Anolis sagrei: one gene and its partner. The protein of the gene in region 2 purifies or fractionates together with the protein of the main gene of each other region. This does not show direct contact. Links are inferred from orthologs where the notes say so. Each region holds a gene or a part of one and is shown on either strand. Other genes may lie near its edges.

Region 1 (9,350 bases), on a different chromosome or scaffold from region 2:
AGGGGACTACCACCCCTGAAACTAGTGTGGTCAGCTCAAAAAGGGGAATGGTTATTCTGTTCTGGCCACTCGCCTTCAAATAGACACATTCAAATCCAGCAGACTGTGGGACAAGTCACCCAGTGAGGGAGATGGAATCCTGACAGACTACCCCATCTCTATCTCCAAAAGATTTCAAATATGTGGGGAACAATGACAGTCCATGCAATTTTGATATATAAGGCTAAGTAGCAAATCCCAATCCACATCCACCCAAGTTAATGTATGGAATACTCTTGGAGAGGAGTCAGAAAACTCCAGAAGCATCTCTACCACTAAAATGTCAACAATAAAAAAAATCCTAACAATTTGTTGCTTTTCTGTGGAATTCCAAATTGTCTCCTTGAGGCAGCTATTTTACTAAGTAGGCAGGGTCTACCTCACTGAGAGGACCCATAAAACCATAACCTTGAGGAAGTGGGCAGATTTGTCCTTGATTTAGTCCAGCAGACTGACCTAAAACAGCAGACTTAAGATGGTTATACTATTCTTATACTCCAATGAATTGATTACACCTTCCTTAGAGATAATGAAGTCCCATCTGGAGCAGTCTGGGGAGGGAAGTTTGCCATAATTTCTATTATGAGCTATCCCAGCTCCCATTAAAACATTACTAGAGAATGCTACTGGTTATTCCTGCCTATTATTAACTCCCTGCAAGGTGTAGCCTCTTTATGTCACTGATACTGAAGCCAGTATCTTACTGATAGTTACTTAACAAACTTAAGAGAGTGCAAAAGAGTCCTTTAGGGTGTTGCCCCAATTAGATTCAACACTCCCTTATTGCAATCATGATCCTTTCTAAGATTTTTTTTCAGTTCCATGTGTTTGTCTCAGAGGTAACTCCCACACTTTTGAAAAGAACTTAACCTCCTGTGGGTGTACGCAGAATTGCGCCACAATGGATTTTACTGTGTGGAAACTTTTCTCCCTTTCTTTTTTCAAAACCTGAAAGCTGCAGGCCAAATTTTTTGTACAGCACATAAATTAGCCACATTTTATTTTGTTAGTTTGTAGACTGCTTTGGTCCAATTCTAGAAGAAGGGTGGGATATAAATTAAACAAACAAACAAATAAGAAGCATTGTACTTACCTGGAGGATGAGGTCTGTTGTAATGAATAGTGGAGATCACATATCCTTCCTTCTAGCATAGAATCAAGTGAAAACTTATCCCCCCCCCTTGTTTCAGAATTCTTTATTATTTATATTCTACCTTTCTCAAGGTAACTTACAATTTCATGACACAACCAATAAATTTAAAAACATGGCAAATACAAAAGTTAAAGAACAATTAAAAGCAATTAAATAGTTGTGTCATGTATTCAAAATTATGATTAAGATTCAATAAAATAACTCATAAAATTAAAATTAGATTTAAAATGAAATATCATCCCCGACTCTCCTTCCAGCCTCCCCTGCAGCATTCCCCTCTTCCTTCCCCAATTGCCTGCTGGCAGAGAAAAGTCTTAATTTGCCTGCAGAAGGCCAGCAGGGTCTCTCCTGGGAGGGAGTTCCATAGTCTGGGAGAAGCCACTGAAAAGGCCTTCTCCACTGTTCTCACCAAATGCACTTTAGCAGGTGGTGAGACAGACAAGGCCCTCTCTAGTAGATCCTAGATATCTAGCAGGTTCATAGAAAGATAAGGGCTTTGTATCACTCTGAATGGTTCCCGGAAATGTGTTGACAGCCAGTGGAACTGCTACAACAAAGGAGTTGGACACCCCCTGTTGCCAACCCCGATTAATAACCTGGCTACTGCTATTTGGACCAGCTGAAGTTTCTGAGCACTTTTCAAAGGTAGCCCCCCATAGAGTGCATAACAGTAGTCCAAGCAGGCTGTAACCCACACTGTGGCCAGATCTGACTTCTCCAGGATTGGGCACAGTTGGCATACTAGCTTTAATAAAAGACTCCTGGTTACTGCTAGTACCTAGGCCTCCAAGTTCAGAACCAAATCCAAGATTATCCCCAAACTGTTAACCTGTGTTTTCAGGTGGAGTGTGACCCCATCTAACACAGACTGAATCTCTGTTCCCAGATTTGTTTTACGACTGACAAAGAGCACCTCTGTCTTGTCTGGATTAAGCTTCAATTTGTTTGCCCTCATCCAGTCCATTGCAGCTGCCAGGCACCAGTTTAGCACAGGAACCACTTCCTTGGAAGTAGGTGAAAAGGAGGCAAACTGGAACTCTGAGGGACTCCAGAAGCCAGTACCTTCCAGACCCATTCCAGAAAGGCAACTCAGAAGGATACCATGGTCAATGGTATGAAAAGCCACTGAAAAGTCCAGGAGAACCAACAGAAACACACTCCCCTCTGTCCAGTTGTCCATGTATGTCATCCACTAAGGTGACCAAAGCTATCTTATTATTTATTGTTAACTTTATTAATATCCCACTTTTCTCTGCATGGGGACTCAAGGCAGCTAACTATCCCACACTTTGCCCCTTATCCTTCCCCAAATGCCTGCTGGCAGAAGAAGTTCTTGACCTGTCTGCAGAAGGAGAGCAGGAATGGGGCCATCCTGGTTTCTCTTGGGAGGGAGTTACACAATTTGGGTGCAGAAGTCCCTCTCCTATGTTCCTTGAGTGTATGGTGTGACAGAGAGAATGCCCTCCCCAGTCGATTGCAGATGTCTCCCAGGTTCATAGAAAGAGATACAGTCCTTCAGATCTGGAACGGAGCTGTGAAGGGATTTGTAGACCTTTGTCCTATAACCAGGCCTGAAACCAGATTGAAATGGATATAGACTATCATTTGCGAAGTTGAATTTCATATGGAAAATGACTCAAAGAGTGTGGCTCTTTGGTGGGGAATGTAAGGGATGGTAGAAGTCACATACTTTCCTCTCCAACATATCCTTCAAATGTTCCACTATTCTTTGGTTTATATACCAGCAAGATGCAAATCCCAAATACAAGTGACCTTTTTCCTCTGCTGGAAACCGCATTCTCAATCCAACTCCAGTCACTATGGCTTGTAACTGTGCTTAGGATCACTATTTGGGCTGCAGTCTTTTATAGTTGCTCCCCACATTTGAAGGTTTGACTTTTGAAGATTTGATTATTCATGGAATTGATTAAAATGTTCTTTATATGACTTGGTAGGACCACCAATGCGATGGTATGCTTAACTTCCATAGACATTGACCATAAAATCATGCTAGAGGATCTAGACATTCCTAGGGAGGGATTACCTTCCGTAAAAAATTAACACTATATGTAATATACTTTGTGTACAGTTTTGAAGATATAAACCCTTGGGATAGAGATTTGTTAATGTAAAAACAAGCAGAAATAAATAATTTGCTGGCTATAAGGAGGAGGAAGAAAATGCTAAATTATAGAGAAATAGGCAAAAGTGAAGCAGGAAATCCTCTCTTAAAAAACAGATTTATGCATGCAAGTTTCTATTTTAAAGTTATATGTCATTAGAGTAGAGATGCACATTTGTAGGAGAAATTGTGTAGCTAGTTATACAGTTGTCATTTATGTATGTGTATATATATCTGCTATATGCCTGTGAGACGTAGACTATCTACAGATGTCTCATGCAACTCCTAGAACAATTCCATCAGTGTTGCCTCTGAAAAATATCTTGGGAAGACAAGCAGACAAATGTCAGCATGCTGGAAGAAGCAAAGACCACCAGCATTTAAGTGATGCTCCTCTGTCATCAACTCTGCTGGACCATGTTGTCCGTATGGCCAACCACCGTCTCCCAAAGCAGTTACTGTACTCCAAACTCAAGAATGGAAAATAGAATATTGGTGGGCAGGAAAAGAGATTTAAAGATGGGCTCAAAGCCAACCTTAAAAACTGTGGCATAGACACTGAGAACTGGGAAGCCCTGGCCTGTTAGTGATCCAGCTGGAGGTCAGCTGTGAACAGCAGTGCTGCAGAATTTGAAGAGGCACGAATGGAGGGTGAAAGAGAGAAACGTGCCAAGAGGAAGGAGCGTCAAGCCAACCCTGACCGGTACCGCCTTCCATCTGGAAACCGATGCTGTCACTGTGGGAGAAGATGCAGATCAAAAATAGGGCTCCACAGTCACCTATGGACCCACTACTAAGACATCGATCTTGGAAGACAATCCTACTCGGACAACGAGGGATCGCCTAAGTAAGTAAGTATGTAAGTTTTTGTTTCTTTGGGTTTCTTATGTTAAATTTTAAATTAAGAAAATGAATATATATATATACATATATATATATAAAATTCCAGTTATTATTATTATTAATAATTTATTTCTATCCTACTTTTCTTCGAGATTGGGACTCAAAGAGGCGAATAAAATGGGAACACAAACATTACAATCATTAAAAAATAATCAATTAAACCACAACATCTCATTAAAAAATTATAAAACACGCAATGCCATAATAAAGAAGTAGTAAAGAAGTAATAAACAATCAATAGAATTAAAATCGCATCAAGTAGACAAGAAAAACAATAAAAAGAGCATTTTTGGAATGGATGGAAACTCAGTTCAGCACCATGGAAAGCTCCCTTAAACTCTGGAACAGAAACCAAGGCGGATTTCTGGCCCTCCTCATTGGTCCAAGTGATGTGCAACACAAATATGTTACAAATTAACTCAAAAGCCCCAAAATGCACAAAGTAGAGCAATGGGCCTAGAAGTATTTTTTTTTATTTAAGAGAATTAAGCTATTTGTTTATTGTAGTTTCTCCTCTTAAAACGGCTGGGTATATCCCTAACCCCCCCATGCTAACTAATGGATTCGTCCATAGAACGTTGCGAATGGCTCTATTAAAGAATATGACGTTCCCTTCAGTTTCAGGGCCTTTCCATTCTCTGGCCGGGGGGGGGGGAGGAGAGTGCTATTGACAGCACTGCGCCGGAATGATTGGCAGGAAGGAAACACACACATACACATACACCCCTCCTTTTTACTATCACTATCCTCTCGCGATGTCAGCGCCTGCCTCCCATTCATGAGGACTCGCGAGGCTTGGGTTCCTGTTCCCACGCCTGTTGTGTCTGCCTCTTGAGACGAGGGAAAAAGGGAAGCAGCTGGGAGTCAGTGAGCAGAGCACGTGGGCGGGGCCAACGTTCTGCCTGTAGCCCCGCCCCTCGGCCTTTTGTTTTTCTCGCTCGTGCGCGTGCGCGTTCTCGGAGGGAGGGAGGGAAATGCGGGATGCGCGCGCCTTTCCTGCTAGTGGCGGCGGACACATTGGCCGCTTCTCGCGAGAGTAGGAGTTTTGGCGAGAGTTTGTGGAAGATGGCGCCTGTTGTGACAGGGTGAGTGCGGGGGGGTTCGTGGCATAGTTGCTCCGTAGTCGGTTCCTCCCGCTCTTTCTCGGGCCGCCGGGCCTCGGCCTCTCGGCTGGCACTCCTGGCCTCCCACTGGGGCCGGGCTTTCTTCCTCCTCCGGGAGGAGCGTGTGTGCGGTGCGTGGGGTTGTGTGCGAGGGCGGGTGGCCGGGGGGAGGCCGCGTTGCTCGGCCGTTGAGGGGCGAGGAGTGTGAGGGGTTTTCTGCCCGAGTTTCCATAGGGACCCTCGTGCCTGTGAGGGCCCGGTCGCTCCTCTGTGGAGCCCCTGGCTCACTCCGAGTTCCCAGCGGGGAACACAAAGCGAGAGAGCTGAGGGACCTGCTTTCTCTTCTGTCAAAACTCTCCCGCTTCGAAACCCTTCTCCAGACAAAGCACAGGGTGGCTTTTTAGGGCCCAGAGGACCCATTCCGGTAGACATCTGACTTGGCCACTTGGTCCATGCACTGTTTACTTAGGCGATCCCTCGTTGGACGAGTAAGATGGTCTTCCATGATGGGTTTCCTTGTGGGTTCGTAGGTGGCTGTGGAGCCCTTGACCCGCATTTTCTCCCACAGTGAAGGCATTGGTTTCCAGGTGGAAGGCGGTCCCGGTCGGGGTTGACGCGCCTTCCTCCTGGCACGTTTCTCTCTTTCACCCTCCACTCAGTGCCTCCTCGAATTCTGCAGCACTGCTGGTCACAGCTGACCTCCAGCTGGAGCGCTCAAGGGCCAGGGCTTCCCAGTTCTCAGTGTCTATGCCAGAGATTTTAAGGTTGGCTTTGAGGCCATCTTTAAATCTCTTTTCCTGTCCACTAACATTCCGTTTTCCGTTCTTAAGTTCAGATTAGAGCAACTGCTTTGGGAGATGGTGGTTAGGCATCCGGACAATGTGGCCGGTCCTGCGGAGTTGATGGCAGAGGACCATCACTTCAATGCTGGTGGCTTTTTCTTCTTCCACGCTGACATTTGTCCGCTTGTCTTCCCAAGAGATTTGCAGGATTTTCCAGAGGCAGCGCTGATGGAATTGTTCCAGGAGTTGCATGTGACGTCTGTAGACAGTCCACGTTTCGCAGGCATATAGCAGGGTTGGGAGGACAATAGCTTTATAGACAAACACCTTGGTATCCCTACGGATACCAGTATGCTGATGACAATGTCGTCTGTGCGCATTCAGAAGATCTACAAGCCACTCTAAACACCTTCGCAGAAGCATATGAGAAGGTTGGCCTGTCACTGAACATTGAAAAAACCAAAGTGCTGTTCCAGCAGTCGCCAGCCATCCCCTCCCCAATGCCAGAGATACAGCTTAATGGTGTAACATTAGAAAATGTTGACCACTTCCGCTACCTTGGCAGCCACCTCTCCACCAAAGTCAACATCGACACCGAAATACAACACCGCCTGAGCTCTGCGAGTGTAGCATTTTCCCGAATGAAGCAGAGAGTGTTTGAGGATCGGGGAGGGGGGAGGGGATGCACTGCTTACACTGGCCTCGGCGCTGACCCTGGAAGCTCAATTAAAGCTTGTGCACCAACTGCGCCTGTACCTCGAAAAGCCAGATCTGGCCACGGTGGTCCATGCTTTAGATAAGTGATTCCCAACCTTTGGGCCTCCAGGTGTTTTGGATTTTAGCTCCCAGAGTGGTAAGCTGGCTGCGATTTCTGGGAGTTGAAGTCCAAAACACCTGGAGGCCCAAAGCTTTAGTTACATCTCATATGTATTCCTGCAATGCTCTCTTCTTGGGGCTGCCTTTGAAGACAGCTTGGAAACTACATCCAGGATAGACTACTGCAACACGCTCTATGTGTTGCAGTACGCTTCTCTCCTTATGAACCTCTCAGGACTTTAAGATTGTCTGGGAAGGCCCTGCTCTCGGTCCTGCCTTCATGACAAGCATGGTTGGCGGGGACGAGAGACAGGGCCTTCTCAGTGGTGGCCCCTCGGCTATGGAACGCCCTTCTTAAGGACATCAGATCGGCCCCCTCCCTTTTAACATTTCGGAAGAGAGTTAGAATCATAGAATCATCTCTCCAAGAATTTTGTCCATAGCTACAGGTTCCAAAAACTGAAAGTTATCCAAGAAAACAGGACAAAAAGGGACCAAGGTTAAATAGAGTCATAGAATCATAGAATCAAAGAGTTGGAAGAGACCTCATGGGCCATCCAGTCCAACCCCCTGCCAAGAAGCAGGAATATTGCATTCAAATCACCCCTGACAGATGGCCATCCAGCCTCTGTTTAAAAGCTTCCAAAGAAGGAGCCTCCACCACACTCCGGGGCAGAGAGTTCCACGGCTCTCACAGTCAGGAAGTTCTTCCTTATGTTCAGATGGAATCTCCTCCCTTGTAGTTTGAAGCCATTGTTTCGTGTCCTAGTCTGCAAGGAAGCAGAAAACAAGCTTGCTCCCTCCTCCCTGTGGCTTCCTCTCACATATTTATACATGGCTATCATATCTCCTCTCAGCCTTCTCTTCTTCAGGCTAAACATGCCCAGCTCCTTAAGCCGCTCCTCATAGGGCTTGTTCTCCAGACCCTTTATCATTTTAGTCGCCCTCCTCTGGACATATTCCAGCTTGGCTCTTTGAGCAGGCATTTGCAAATAAAGGGTAACAGAAATAGAAAAGTGGAATGGTTAACAATGTGACTGGACAATGTTTTTAATGAGGAGACCCTAATGATACATTTTTATTGATTCTGTTATGGTTTTATTATTCGATTGTTTTATTATATTGAAATTGTATTTTATGATGTTGGTACCAACTTGGTGTTGGTACCATCGGTCCCAAGTTGCCTGCGGGCTGAAAGGGACAGTATATAAATATAGTAAATAAATAAAATAAATAAATACGTGGGATTGCCTTTGAAGACTGCTTGGAAGCTTCAAATAGTTCAACGAGAGACAGCCAGGTTATTAACTGGGGCGGCATACAGGGAGAACACAACTCCCATGTTATGTCAGCTCCCTTATTGCCTGTTTGCTACCACACACATTTCAAAGTGCTGGCTTTGGCCTATAAAGCCGTAAATGGCCCCGGCCCAGTTTATCTGTCCCAATGGATCTCCCTTTACGAACCACCACAAAGAATAAGATCTTCTGGGGAGGCCCTGCTCTTGGTCCTGTCACAGGCGCATTTGGCGGGGACAAGAGTCAGGGCCTTCTCAGTGATTGCCCCCCGTCTATGGAACTCCCTTCCTGACAATATTAGTTCAGCCCTCTCCCTCCTGTCCTTCAGAAAGATGGTGAAGACCTGGCTTTGGGACCAAGCTATTGGGGCAGTGCAATGAGGCAATAATAGAATTATTATTTTTGCGTCTAACAGTGTCCTGAGATGGTTTTTAAGCAACTGATTTTAAAGTGGATATAAGTGATTTTAATGCTTGTGTATATTTATGGTTTTATGCCCCGGCATCGAATACTTGCCATAGATAGATAGAGTGCTTCACCCTGAGTCCCCTGTGGGGCGAGAAGGGCGGAATATAAATGTTTCAAATAAATAAATAAATTGGTACAAAGATCTGCAGCCAGGCTGCTGAAAGGAGCAAACTATCAGGAATGTACCACCCCTGATTAAAGGAACTTCACTGGCTCCCTATATACTTCTGGGCCCAATTCAAAGTGCAGGCCATTATTTATATATATATATATCTATATATTCCACATTTAGGGAAGGTACATTCTCGGGGGCAGCTCCTAAGTTGTGGAACTTGCTGAAATTAGATCAGCTCCCACCCTCATGACATTTAGGAAAGCCGTGAAGACTTCCTTGTTTGAAGCAGCTTTTAACTGAAGCCAAGCACTTATGGATGCAGCAGAGTGGGGAATTTTAGATTGATTTTAATTTTTAATGTGTGGTAATATAAAAAGATTTAAGGATTATTGAACCTCTAATACTTGTTTAGCTATGATTTTTAACTATTTGTATGTGTATTTTTAAATATGAGCCGCCTTGGGTCTGTCTTGGAGAAAGGCGGCATAGAAATATCTGCAATAAATAAATCAATATGGCTATTACTTCTTCCATGAGGAACAAAACCAGAC
Region 2 (10,257 bases):
TCAGGTTGACCCAATTTAAACTGCCCGGGCTCAGGGTAATAGGCCCTCCTGGAAGTTCTAGTTTCCCAAGGTCTTGAGCCCCCTCTGGGTGCATCTATGTTGCTGAATGAATGCAGCCTGATGTCCCTTGAACTGCCAGGCCTCCAGGGTATGGAATCCTGCGAGTTATAGTTTGGCAGGCCTTGGAGAACTACAACTCCCAGGATGCCATTGCACTGAGTTCACCATAGGGTGCGTCTACATTGTGGAATGGATGCAGGTTGACCCCATTTAAACTGCCTGGGCTCAGGGTAATAATAATAATAATAATAATAATAATAATAATAATAATACTTTATTTATGCCCCGCTACCATCTCCCCAAGGGACTCAGTGCGGCTTAAATGAGGCCGAGCCCACAGTACATCAGCAAAAAACAACAACAGCAGTAATACAAAACCATAAAATAAAGCTCATAAACAAAAAATAGGCAGTAAACATCGACAATAACACAATAACATTTAAAAACCAATGGCTGGGCCAAATGTAATAGTTAAAATTTTAAAATAATGCTGGACAAGACCAGGTGAAATATAACTAGGATAGAATTTCGGAAAAGAATGGGGCGTTCAGACAGTTCTAGATCACTAATAAGGTACAATTAGGGACATATTGCTGGGAGTAATAGGCCCTCCTAGAAGTTCTAGTTTCCCAAGATCTTGAGCCTCCTCTGGGTGCATCTACGCTGCTGAATGAATGCTGCTTGATCTCTCTTGAACTGCTAGGCCTCCAGCCTATGGGATCCTGCGAGTTATAGCATGGCAGGCCTTGGAGAACTACAACTCCCAGGACACCATTGCACTGAGTTCACCATAGGGCACGTCTACATTGTGGAATGGATGCAGGTTGACCCAATTTAAACTGCCCAGGCTCAGGGTAATAGGTCCTCCTGGAAGTTCTAGTTTCCCAAGGTCTTGAACCTCCTCTGGGTGCATCTACGCTGCTGAATGAATGCAGCTTGATCTCCCTTGAACTGCTAGGACTCCAGCCTATGGGATCCTGCAAGTTATAGTATGGCAGGCCTTGGAGAACTACAACTCCCAGGATGCCATCGCACTGAGTTCACCATAGGGTGCGTCTACATTGTGGAATGAATGCAGGTTGACCCCATTTAAACTGCCTGGGCTCAAGGTAATAGGTCTTCCTGGAAGTTCTAGTTTCCCAAGGTCTTGAGTCCCAAGGTCTTCAGCAGCATAGAAGCTCCCAGAGGGGGCTCAAACCCTTGGGAAACTAGAACCTCCAGGAGGACCTATTACCCTGGAGCAGAAGCATCTATGCTGCTGAATGAATGCAGCTTGATGTCCCTTGAACTGCCAGGCCTCCAGGGTACGGAATCCTGCGAGTTATAGTTTAGCAGGCCTTGGAGAACTACAACTCCCAGGACACCATTGCACTGAGTTCACCATAGGGCGCGTCTACATTGTGGAATGGATGCAGGTTGACCCAATTTAAACTGCCCGGGCTCAGGGCAATAGGTCTTCCTGGAAGTTCTAGTTTCCCAAGGTCTTGAGTCCCAAGGTCTTCAGCAGCATAGAAGCTCCCAGAGGGGACTCAAGACCTTGGGAAACTAGAACTTCCAGGAGGGCCTATTACCCTGGAGCAGAAGCATCTATGCTGCTGAATGAATGCAGCTTGATGTCCCTTGAACTGCCAGGCCTCCAGGGTACGGAATCCTGCGAGTTATAGTTTAGCAGGCCTTGGAGAACTACAACTCCCAGGACACCATTGCACTGAGTTCACCATAGGGCGCGTCTACATTGTGGAATGGATGCAGGTTGACCCAATTTAAACTGCCTGGGCTCAGGGTAATAGGTCTTCCTGGAAGTTCTAGTTTCCCAAGGTCTTGAGTCCCAAGGTCTTCAGCAGCATAGAAGCTCCCAGAGGAGACTCAAGACCTTGGGAAACTAGAACTTCCAGGAGGGCCTATTACCCTGGAGCAGAAGCATCTATGCTGCTGAATGAATGCAGCTTGATGTCCCTTGAACTGCCAGGCCTCCAGGGTATGGAATCCTGCGAGTTATAGTTTAGCAGGCCTTGGAGAACTACAACTCCCAGGATGCCATTGCACTGAGTTCACCATAGGGCGCGTCTACATTGTGGAATGATGCAGGTTGACCCCATTTAAACTGCCCAGGCTCAGGGCAATAGGTCTTCCTGGAAGTTCTAGTTTCCCAAGGTCTTGAGTCCCAAGGTCTTCAGCAGCATAGAAGCACCCAGATGGGGCTCAAGACCTTGGGAAACTAGAACTTCCAGGAGGACCTATTACCCTGGAGCAGAAGCATCTATGCTGCTGAATGAATGCAGCTTGATGTCCCTTGAACTGCCAGGCCTCCAGGGTATGGAATCCTGCGAGTTATAGTTTGGCAGGCCTTGGAAAACTACAACTCCCAGGATGCCATTGCACTGAGTTCACCATAGGGCTCGTCTACATTGTGGAATGGATACAGGTTGACCCAATTTAAACTGCCTGGGCTCAGGGTAATAGGTCTTCCTGGAAGTTCTAGTCTCCCAAGGTCTTGAGTCCCAAGGTCTTCAGCAGCATAGAAGCACCCAGAGGGGGCTCAAGACCTTGGGAAACTAGAACTTCCAGGAGGGCCTATTACCCTGGAGCAGAAGCATCTATGCTGCTGAATGAATGCAGCTTGATGTCCCTTGAACTGCCAGGCCTCCAGGGTATGGAATTCTGCGAGTTATAGTTTGGCAGGCCTTGGAGAACTACAACTCCCAGGACGCCATTGCACTGAGTTCACCATAGGGCGCGTCTACATTGTGGAATGGATGCAGGTTGACCCCATTTAAACTGCCTGGGCTCAGGGTAATAGGTCCTCCTGGAAGTTCAAGTTTCCCAAGGTCTTGAGCCCCCTCTGGGGGCATCTATGCTGCTGAATGAATGCAGATTAATCTCCCTTGAACTGCTAGGCCTCCAGGGTATGGAATCCTGCGAGTTATAGTTTGGCAGGCCTTGGAGAACTACAACTCCCAGGACACCATTGCACTGAGTTCACCATAGGGTGCGTCTACATTGTGGAATGGATGCAGGTGGACCCAATTTGAACTGCCCGGGCTCAGGGTAATAGGTCCTCCTGGAAGTTCTAGTTTCCCAAGGTCTTGAGCCTCCTCTGCGTGCATCTGTGCTGCTGAATGAATGGAGCTTGATGTCCCTTGAACTGCCAGGCCTCCGGGGTATGGAATCCTGCGAGTTATAGTTTAGCAGGCCTTGGAGAACTACAACTCCCAGGACACCATTGCACTGAGTTCACTATAGGGCGCGTCTACATTGTGGAATGATGCAGGTTGACCCAATTTAAACTGCCCGGGCTCAGGGTAATAGGTCTTCCTGTAAGTTCTAGTTTCCCAAGGTCTTGAGTCCCAAGGTCTTCAGCAGCATAGAAGCACCCAGAGGGGGCTCAAGACCTTGGGAAACTAGAACTTCCAGGAAGACCTATTACCCTGAGCCCAGGCAGTTTAAATGGGGTCAACCTGCATCCATTCCACAATGTAGACGCGCCATTTAAACTGCCCGGGCTCAGGGTAATAGGTCTTCCTGCAAGTTCTAGTTTCCCAAGGTCTTGAGTCTTCCCCGCCGAACCACAACTCGCAGGATCCCCTATCTGGAGCCAAAGCAGTTCAGGGGAGGTCAAGCTGTCCTCATTCGACCGTGCAGCATATGCACCCTTTTCATTGTTTGCATCTCGTTTCCCTGGGAAACGACTGCAAAGCAGCAGAAAACCAGCCAATCCAAGCCATCTCTGGCTTTTGCACACGGCCTGAGGCATTCTCTTCCCTTTCTTTTTGCAGTCCTACCTTTTCAGCCCGGCCCCGATCCCCCCCTCGGCCCCGATCTTACGGTTTGCTCGCCTCCTTGGCCCCTCTTTCGGCCACCGATCAGCTCCTCATGAAAGAAGACGAGGAACAACTCTTCACTTCCGGTTCCCATTCGCGGCTCTTGATTAGAGCAAGACAGGAACTTGCTGGCTTCTCTGCTTTGCTTTCTGATGGCTTGGTTTCATGCACACACAAAATATTATATTTCAGGCTGTGCGTCTCTGCAACATAAATGACTGTCTTTTTTAGGCTTGGGTGTCATACACCAGATCTCTCATGAAAATATCTCAGGGTACATTTAAACTCTACAAATAATATAATATAATATTGTTGTTGTTCATTCGTTCAGTCGTCTCCGACTCTTCGTGACCTCATGGACCAGCCTACGCCAGAGCTCCCTGTCGGCCGTTACCACCCCCAGCTCCCTCAAGGTCAGTCCAGTCACTTCAAGGATGCCATCCATCCATCTTGCCCTTGGTCGGCCCCTCTTCCTTTTGCCTTCCACTTTCCCCAGCATAATTGTCTTCTCTAGGCTTTCCTGTCTCCTCATGATGTGGCCAAAGTACTTCAGCTTTGTCTCTAGTATCTTTCCCTCCAGTGAGCAGTCGGGCTTTATTTCCTGGAGGATGGACTGGTTGGATCTTCTCGCAGTCCAAGGCACTCTCAGCACTTTCCTCCAACACCACAGCTCAAAAGCATCGATCTTCCTTCGCTCAGCCTTCCCTAAGGTCCAGCTCTCACATCCGTAGGTGACTACAGGGAATACCATGGCTTTATAATATAATATAATATAATATAATATAATATAATATAGCATAACATAATTAATATAATACTTTTTAATATTATATTATGATATAATACAATATAATATTATTATATAATAATATATAATAAGGATCCAATGCTATGGGATCGAATAATACAATACAATATAACAGTATATTATTATATGACTATCTATCTTCTATATATATAAAAATGCTCTGTTCATAATGAGTACCTTAAAAACAAAAGAACCAGTGAACGAAATCACACCAAATTTGGCAACAAAACATCTCACCACACAAGGAGTGACCATCACTCAAAAAAATTATGATTTTGTCATTTGGGAGTTGTAGTTGCTGGGATTTATAGTTCACCTACACTCAAAGAGCATTCTGAACTCCATCAATGATGGAATTGAACCAAACTTGGCACACAGAACTCCCATGACCAACAGAAAATACTGGAAGGGTTTGGTGGGCATTGACCTTGAGTTTGGGAGTTGTAGTTCTCCTACATCCAGAGAGCACTGTGGACTCAAACAATGATGGATCGGGACCAAACTGGGCACAAACACTCGATACACCCAAATATGAACACAGATGGAGTTTGGGGGAAATAGACCTTGACATTTGAGAGTTGTAATCACTGGGATTCACAGTTCACTTACAATCAAAGAGCATGATGAACCCCACAAGCGATAGAATTGGGGCAAACTTCCCACACAGAACCCCCATGACCAACAGAAAATACTTAAGGCCATCCAATCTAACTCCCTTCTTCAGGGCAAGAAAACGTTATCAAAACCCTCCTGACAAAGAGCCATCCAGCCATAGATTAGATAGATAGACAGACAGACAGATACATATGATTCACACACAGAGAGATATAGTATCATAGATTTGAAAGGGACCCTTAAAGAAGGACAATGATATGTTGCATGTTCCAGGGTGGGCAAACCAGACACTCTCCACATCAACAGTGACAAAGAAACAAGAAGTACGGTTTACCTGCAAGCATAAAGAAATTACGTATATTAGAAACCAACACTTTCTCATTACTTTATTTTCCAGATCAACAGACTGGACCACAGCAACGCGTGGCAGGGTACAGCTAGTATCACATAATGTAATAAAATAATAATGTATTATATAATAAATAAAATATCAGTGTCTGATACAGAACATGGCCATATAGCCCGGAAAAACCTACAACAACCCAGTGATTCCGGCCATGAAAGCCTTCGACAATACAATAAAATATTATATTATTATATTATACAATAGGGAGACACTGGTGGCGCAGTGGGTTAAACTGCTGGGCTGCTGACCTTGCTGACCGAAAGGTTGCAGGTTCAAATCTGGGAAGCGGCATGAGCTTCCGCTGTCAGCCCCAGCTTCTGCCAGCCTAATGATATTGAGCTAGAGTTTGGAGACTCACCCAGGAGAACGGAGCCCTAAGACCCACCAAAGTGCTGGTGTTGACCTATAAATCCCTAAACGACTCCGGCCCAGTTTACCTGTCCAAACGGATTCTCTCCTATGAACCATCAAGGTTGTTAAGATCTTCTGGAGGGGGCCTGCTCTCGGTCCCACCACCTTCACAATTGTGTCTGGTGGGGACGAGGGACAGCACCTTCTCGGTGGTGGCCCCTCGGCTCTGGAACTCTCTCCCATTGGAGATTAGATCCGCCTCTTCCCTCCTGACTTTCAGAAAGCTGGTAAAAACATGGCTTTTGTGTGATATTGTATGATCTGTATTTTAATGTATTAATGTATTATGATGCTATTATGTTCATTATATATGTGTTGAATTTTCTGCTGTTAGCCGGCCTGAGTCCCTCTTCGGAGGTCGAGAAGACCGGGTTATAAAAGCTCTAAATAAAAAAATTAAAAAATGAGGATCCGGAACTCTGGCGAGCAAAGGAAAAGCCAATAGAATTTTCCCCAGATTTTTCCCAATAAATCTCACCAAAATTGAAGAAAAGCCACCGAGTTGTATTTATTTCATCCAGCTGGTACGGATGTCAAACCGCGATAGTTCGTCAGGAGAGACATACATTCAATACATTGCAGTACATTTTTATAGAGAAACAGAGCTGTCAAAGTTCAAATTTCCCACCCCTCAGCCAGCCTTCTCCTGATTGGTTGTTGTCATCAGCTGGAGAGGAGGCGCAGCCAGCTTGACTGCGCCTCAGTGAATCAGAAAGCCAGTGCCACTTCGAGCTTTCGACCAATAGGAGCGGAGGAGGCGGTCCTTGGGAAGAACAATGAAAGGAATGTCCAGATGATTGAATTAGAATGGCTCAATGTGTCCAAATGGCTGGCGATTAATCAAAAGAAAAGATTCCTCAAGCTGGCTGGGTATTCTTGAAAGGTTGCGATATGCAGATATGGCGGGTGTAAAGATCCCTTACCTTGCCAGCTGGGGGGTGGCAGGGCCTAGGAAGAGACAGGCTAGGTAGTTTCAGCTTAGGAAGGCCTGGCAGAGAGCGGCAGGAGCCATCTTAGTTTAGGGAAGACTCCAGTTCAGAGAGGGGGAGTGGCCTAGGCCTGTGCCAGCCCAGCAACAGCCAGGATTGGTTTGGAAAAGGGGGGCGGAGTTAGCCAGTTGGAGGGAAAGAGAGAAGCTTATTTTGACAGTTCAGTTCAGTTCTGGGTGATGTTAGAGTAGGATTAGAGTTTTAGGAGTCTCTGTTAGGAATAGGCAGCTTGCCTGTAGTTTGCACAGCAAAGTAGGCTGTGGCAGACTGGTTACAGCTATTTTAGAAAGGAAATAGCTGGGTTTTCTTTAGGAATTGTAACAAAGAATAGAACCATTCTCTCAAGCAACCATTACGCTTCTAAGAACCAAGAACACTTTAATTTGTAACAGCAAAGACTCTACAACTGCATTCACTTTTATTCTGTAACTTGTATTCAATAAACCTTTCTTGTTATTTTTAAAATTTAAGCCTGAGTCAAGTGCCATTTGTAGATTCAGTCTTTTTTTCTTTTTAAATCAACCTCTCCTGTTTCCCCTCAAAGAAGCCCTTTTTAATACACAGTGTTTGGTGGTCCTAGAAAAGCCTTTTAACATTCTAAATAGCTAGAGGGTTCCTGATTCTTCAGTTTATGGTGGCAGCGAAGGTTTTAATCAAGAGACATCCCCTCAAACACTATAAGTGCCAAAGTGGTGTGAATTCCTTATTGAAGGAGGGACAGTGTTGGGATCTGTTTGCCCCTGTCCAGTTATATTGTTTGGCCATCAAGAGCGTATCTTTATAGCGGGCACGATTGCCAAGCCCTGGTATTTCCTTGTCTTAGATATTGGATCACTTTGTAATTTGGTAGATTTTCTTGGTCCAAGGGGAAATGACAAAAGGGAGGAAGGCTGGGATATCCTGGCCTCCCTTGGAGGCAGGATGTTTCTTTGTTGATAGATGACTAGTTTACCAGGGGCCCTTTCCCAAGTGGTCATGATCCGAAACTGAGGGAGAGCCTGGTTATTATCATGTAAATAGTCTTTGTTGAAAACCTAGAATCAATGGAAATTTGCCCTAGGAAATGAACTTCCCAAGGCTGGTGTTTCACTGGGGTCACGAAAAGGGTGGCTTCCCATATTTCATATACAGACACATACATAAGGTTCAAGGGAGACACATAAGGGACAATGAAGCATAAAGGGATTTCATAATACACTCATCCCACCCACTAGAGTCCAAAGGAATAAGTTCATAAGCATGAAATCATATCATCCCTATTCATGCAAGGTAGTCCACCAAGTTTTTAAAAGTTCTTGAAAGTTTGGGAAAGTTGATCAAAGTTGTGAAATCCAGAAAAGGCAAGTGGGAAAAGGTGTCCCAGTGTCCACAGAGTCCTTATGAGCCGACTGCCAACGTTGAAGATTGAGATCCGTGGAGAGAACTACAGATCCCTCCATACCAAGGACTCAGGCAGCCTGCTGACATCTTGGGGTTCCTCTGGGGTGACTGCGACAGTTGCCCAAGATCAGCATGCTCCCTGGACATCCACAAAATGGTGGCAACGAGGCAATCTCCTTGGAAAAACAGCTGGGCTCCAGGCTGAAGTTTTAGAGACAAAAAAAGGTTATTCCTGGGGCGGAGAGGACAGCGGAGCGAAACCGAGATAGCCACTGGAATTCTCCCAGAAGAATGACACCATTTTCGAAGCGATCTGTTGACTCGCTGATACAGGGGCCCAAGGGGGTTTCCATATCCGCGGTTTAAGGGAACGCAGTTTCTGCCTCCCCGGGACGCAAAAATCGCAACCCAGGAGGGCTGGCAGTCATCTGCAGCCCGGGAGAGGAAAGTTTTATGAAAAGAGAAATTTGAGGCAATAAAGAGACACCAAGTAACACCATGAAGAGGAAAAAGGTTACAATTAATTGATACTTTTTATTGGGGGGATTAGTTACAACGTTAGGAAGGGGAAAAGGCAAAGAAATAAGATGGCTTCTGAGTTGCAGCTGCTGCTGTGCCCACGTTCATGAGGTTGGCCCAAGCGGGGCAATGGAGAACTGAGGAACGCCCTGCTGCCGGTCAGATTAGCTTGAGGGCAGGGAATTCCGTGTTCGACCTGCAACTCACATGCAAATGTGAGTAGATCAATAGGAACTGCTCCGGTGGGAAGGTAACGATGCTCCGTGCAGTCATGCTGGCTCTTCAGCTTAGAAATGGAGATGAGCACCACACCCCAGAGTCGGACATGACTAGACTTAATGTTAAGGGAAAACCTTTATCTTTACTATGAGACAATAATATAACATACTACATTAATGACCCAATGCTAAGGGATCAAATAATATAATACAATATAACAAATTATTATTATATTACTATATAAAATAATATTATATTGTATTATATACTATTATTATATAATAATATAGTATAATATAATGAGGGCCCAATGCTATGGGATCGAATAATATAATGTAATACAATATAACAATATATTATTATATTATATGACTATATAATATAATAATAATGTATTATATAATAAAAAAAATATTATATTATTGTATAATATAATATAATTTTGGGGGTCCTTAGGTAGGATCCCAAAATTTGACTATGCACTTTACTACCATTTTATCTATAAAATAGTAGTAAATATTTTATCTCTATCCTTAACACAGCTACATGCCCTATGCACTTTATTCATTTCCCTATCCTCGGATCTGTTGGACACCAGGCCACCACCCATGTCGAGACTGGATCATGTTATTGCTGTTGGTTTTGACGCCTGTTTTATAATTGGTTTAATGTTGTTTATGTTGTTTTAAATTGCTGTTGGTGCACTTTGATGTACTATGTTTTAACTTTGCTATTTCAGCTTGGACCCATGTAAGCTGCCCCGAGTCCCTTCGGGGAAATGGAGGCGGGATATAAAAATAAAGTTATTATTATTATTATTATTATTATTATACAATAATAATAACATACTATATTAATGACCCAAACCAATGGGATCAAATAATATAATATAATATAATAACAACATATTATATGACTACGTAATGTAATAACATTATTATATGTTATATCTATATAAATAAAAATGTAATGTTCGTTTGTGAAATTAACATAACTCAAAAAACCACTGGAAAAATTGACACCAAATTT

What was found. The genes of interacting proteins can lie anywhere in the genome.
Region 1: the proteins of RITA1 (region 2) and RBPJ purify together in Homo sapiens (affinity purification with mass spectrometry; 4 studies listed by BioGRID and IntAct, with this or other methods). This does not show direct contact. The link is inferred for Anolis sagrei from reciprocal best matches to the Homo sapiens genes RITA1 and RBPJ.

The regions. Positions count from the first base shown.
Region 1 is NC_090025.1:113,055,199-113,064,548, forward strand, and holds the start of RBPJ (recombining binding protein suppressor of hairless), read left to right. Parts: upstream 1-5,171; 5' UTR 5,172-5,198; coding exon 5,199-5,302; intron 5,303-5,364; exon of another isoform or gene 5,365-5,451; intron 5,452-9,350. UniProt on the Homo sapiens protein: Transcriptional regulator that plays a central role in Notch signaling, a signaling pathway involved in cell-cell communication that regulates a broad spectrum of cell-fate determinations.
Region 2 is NC_090034.1:45,199,534-45,209,790, forward strand, and holds the start of RITA1 (RBPJ-interacting and tubulin-associated protein 1), read right to left. Parts: upstream 4,066-10,257; 5' UTR 3,886-4,065; intron 3,872-3,885; exon of another isoform or gene 3,843-3,871; intron 1-3,842. UniProt on the Homo sapiens protein: Tubulin-binding protein that acts as a negative regulator of Notch signaling pathway.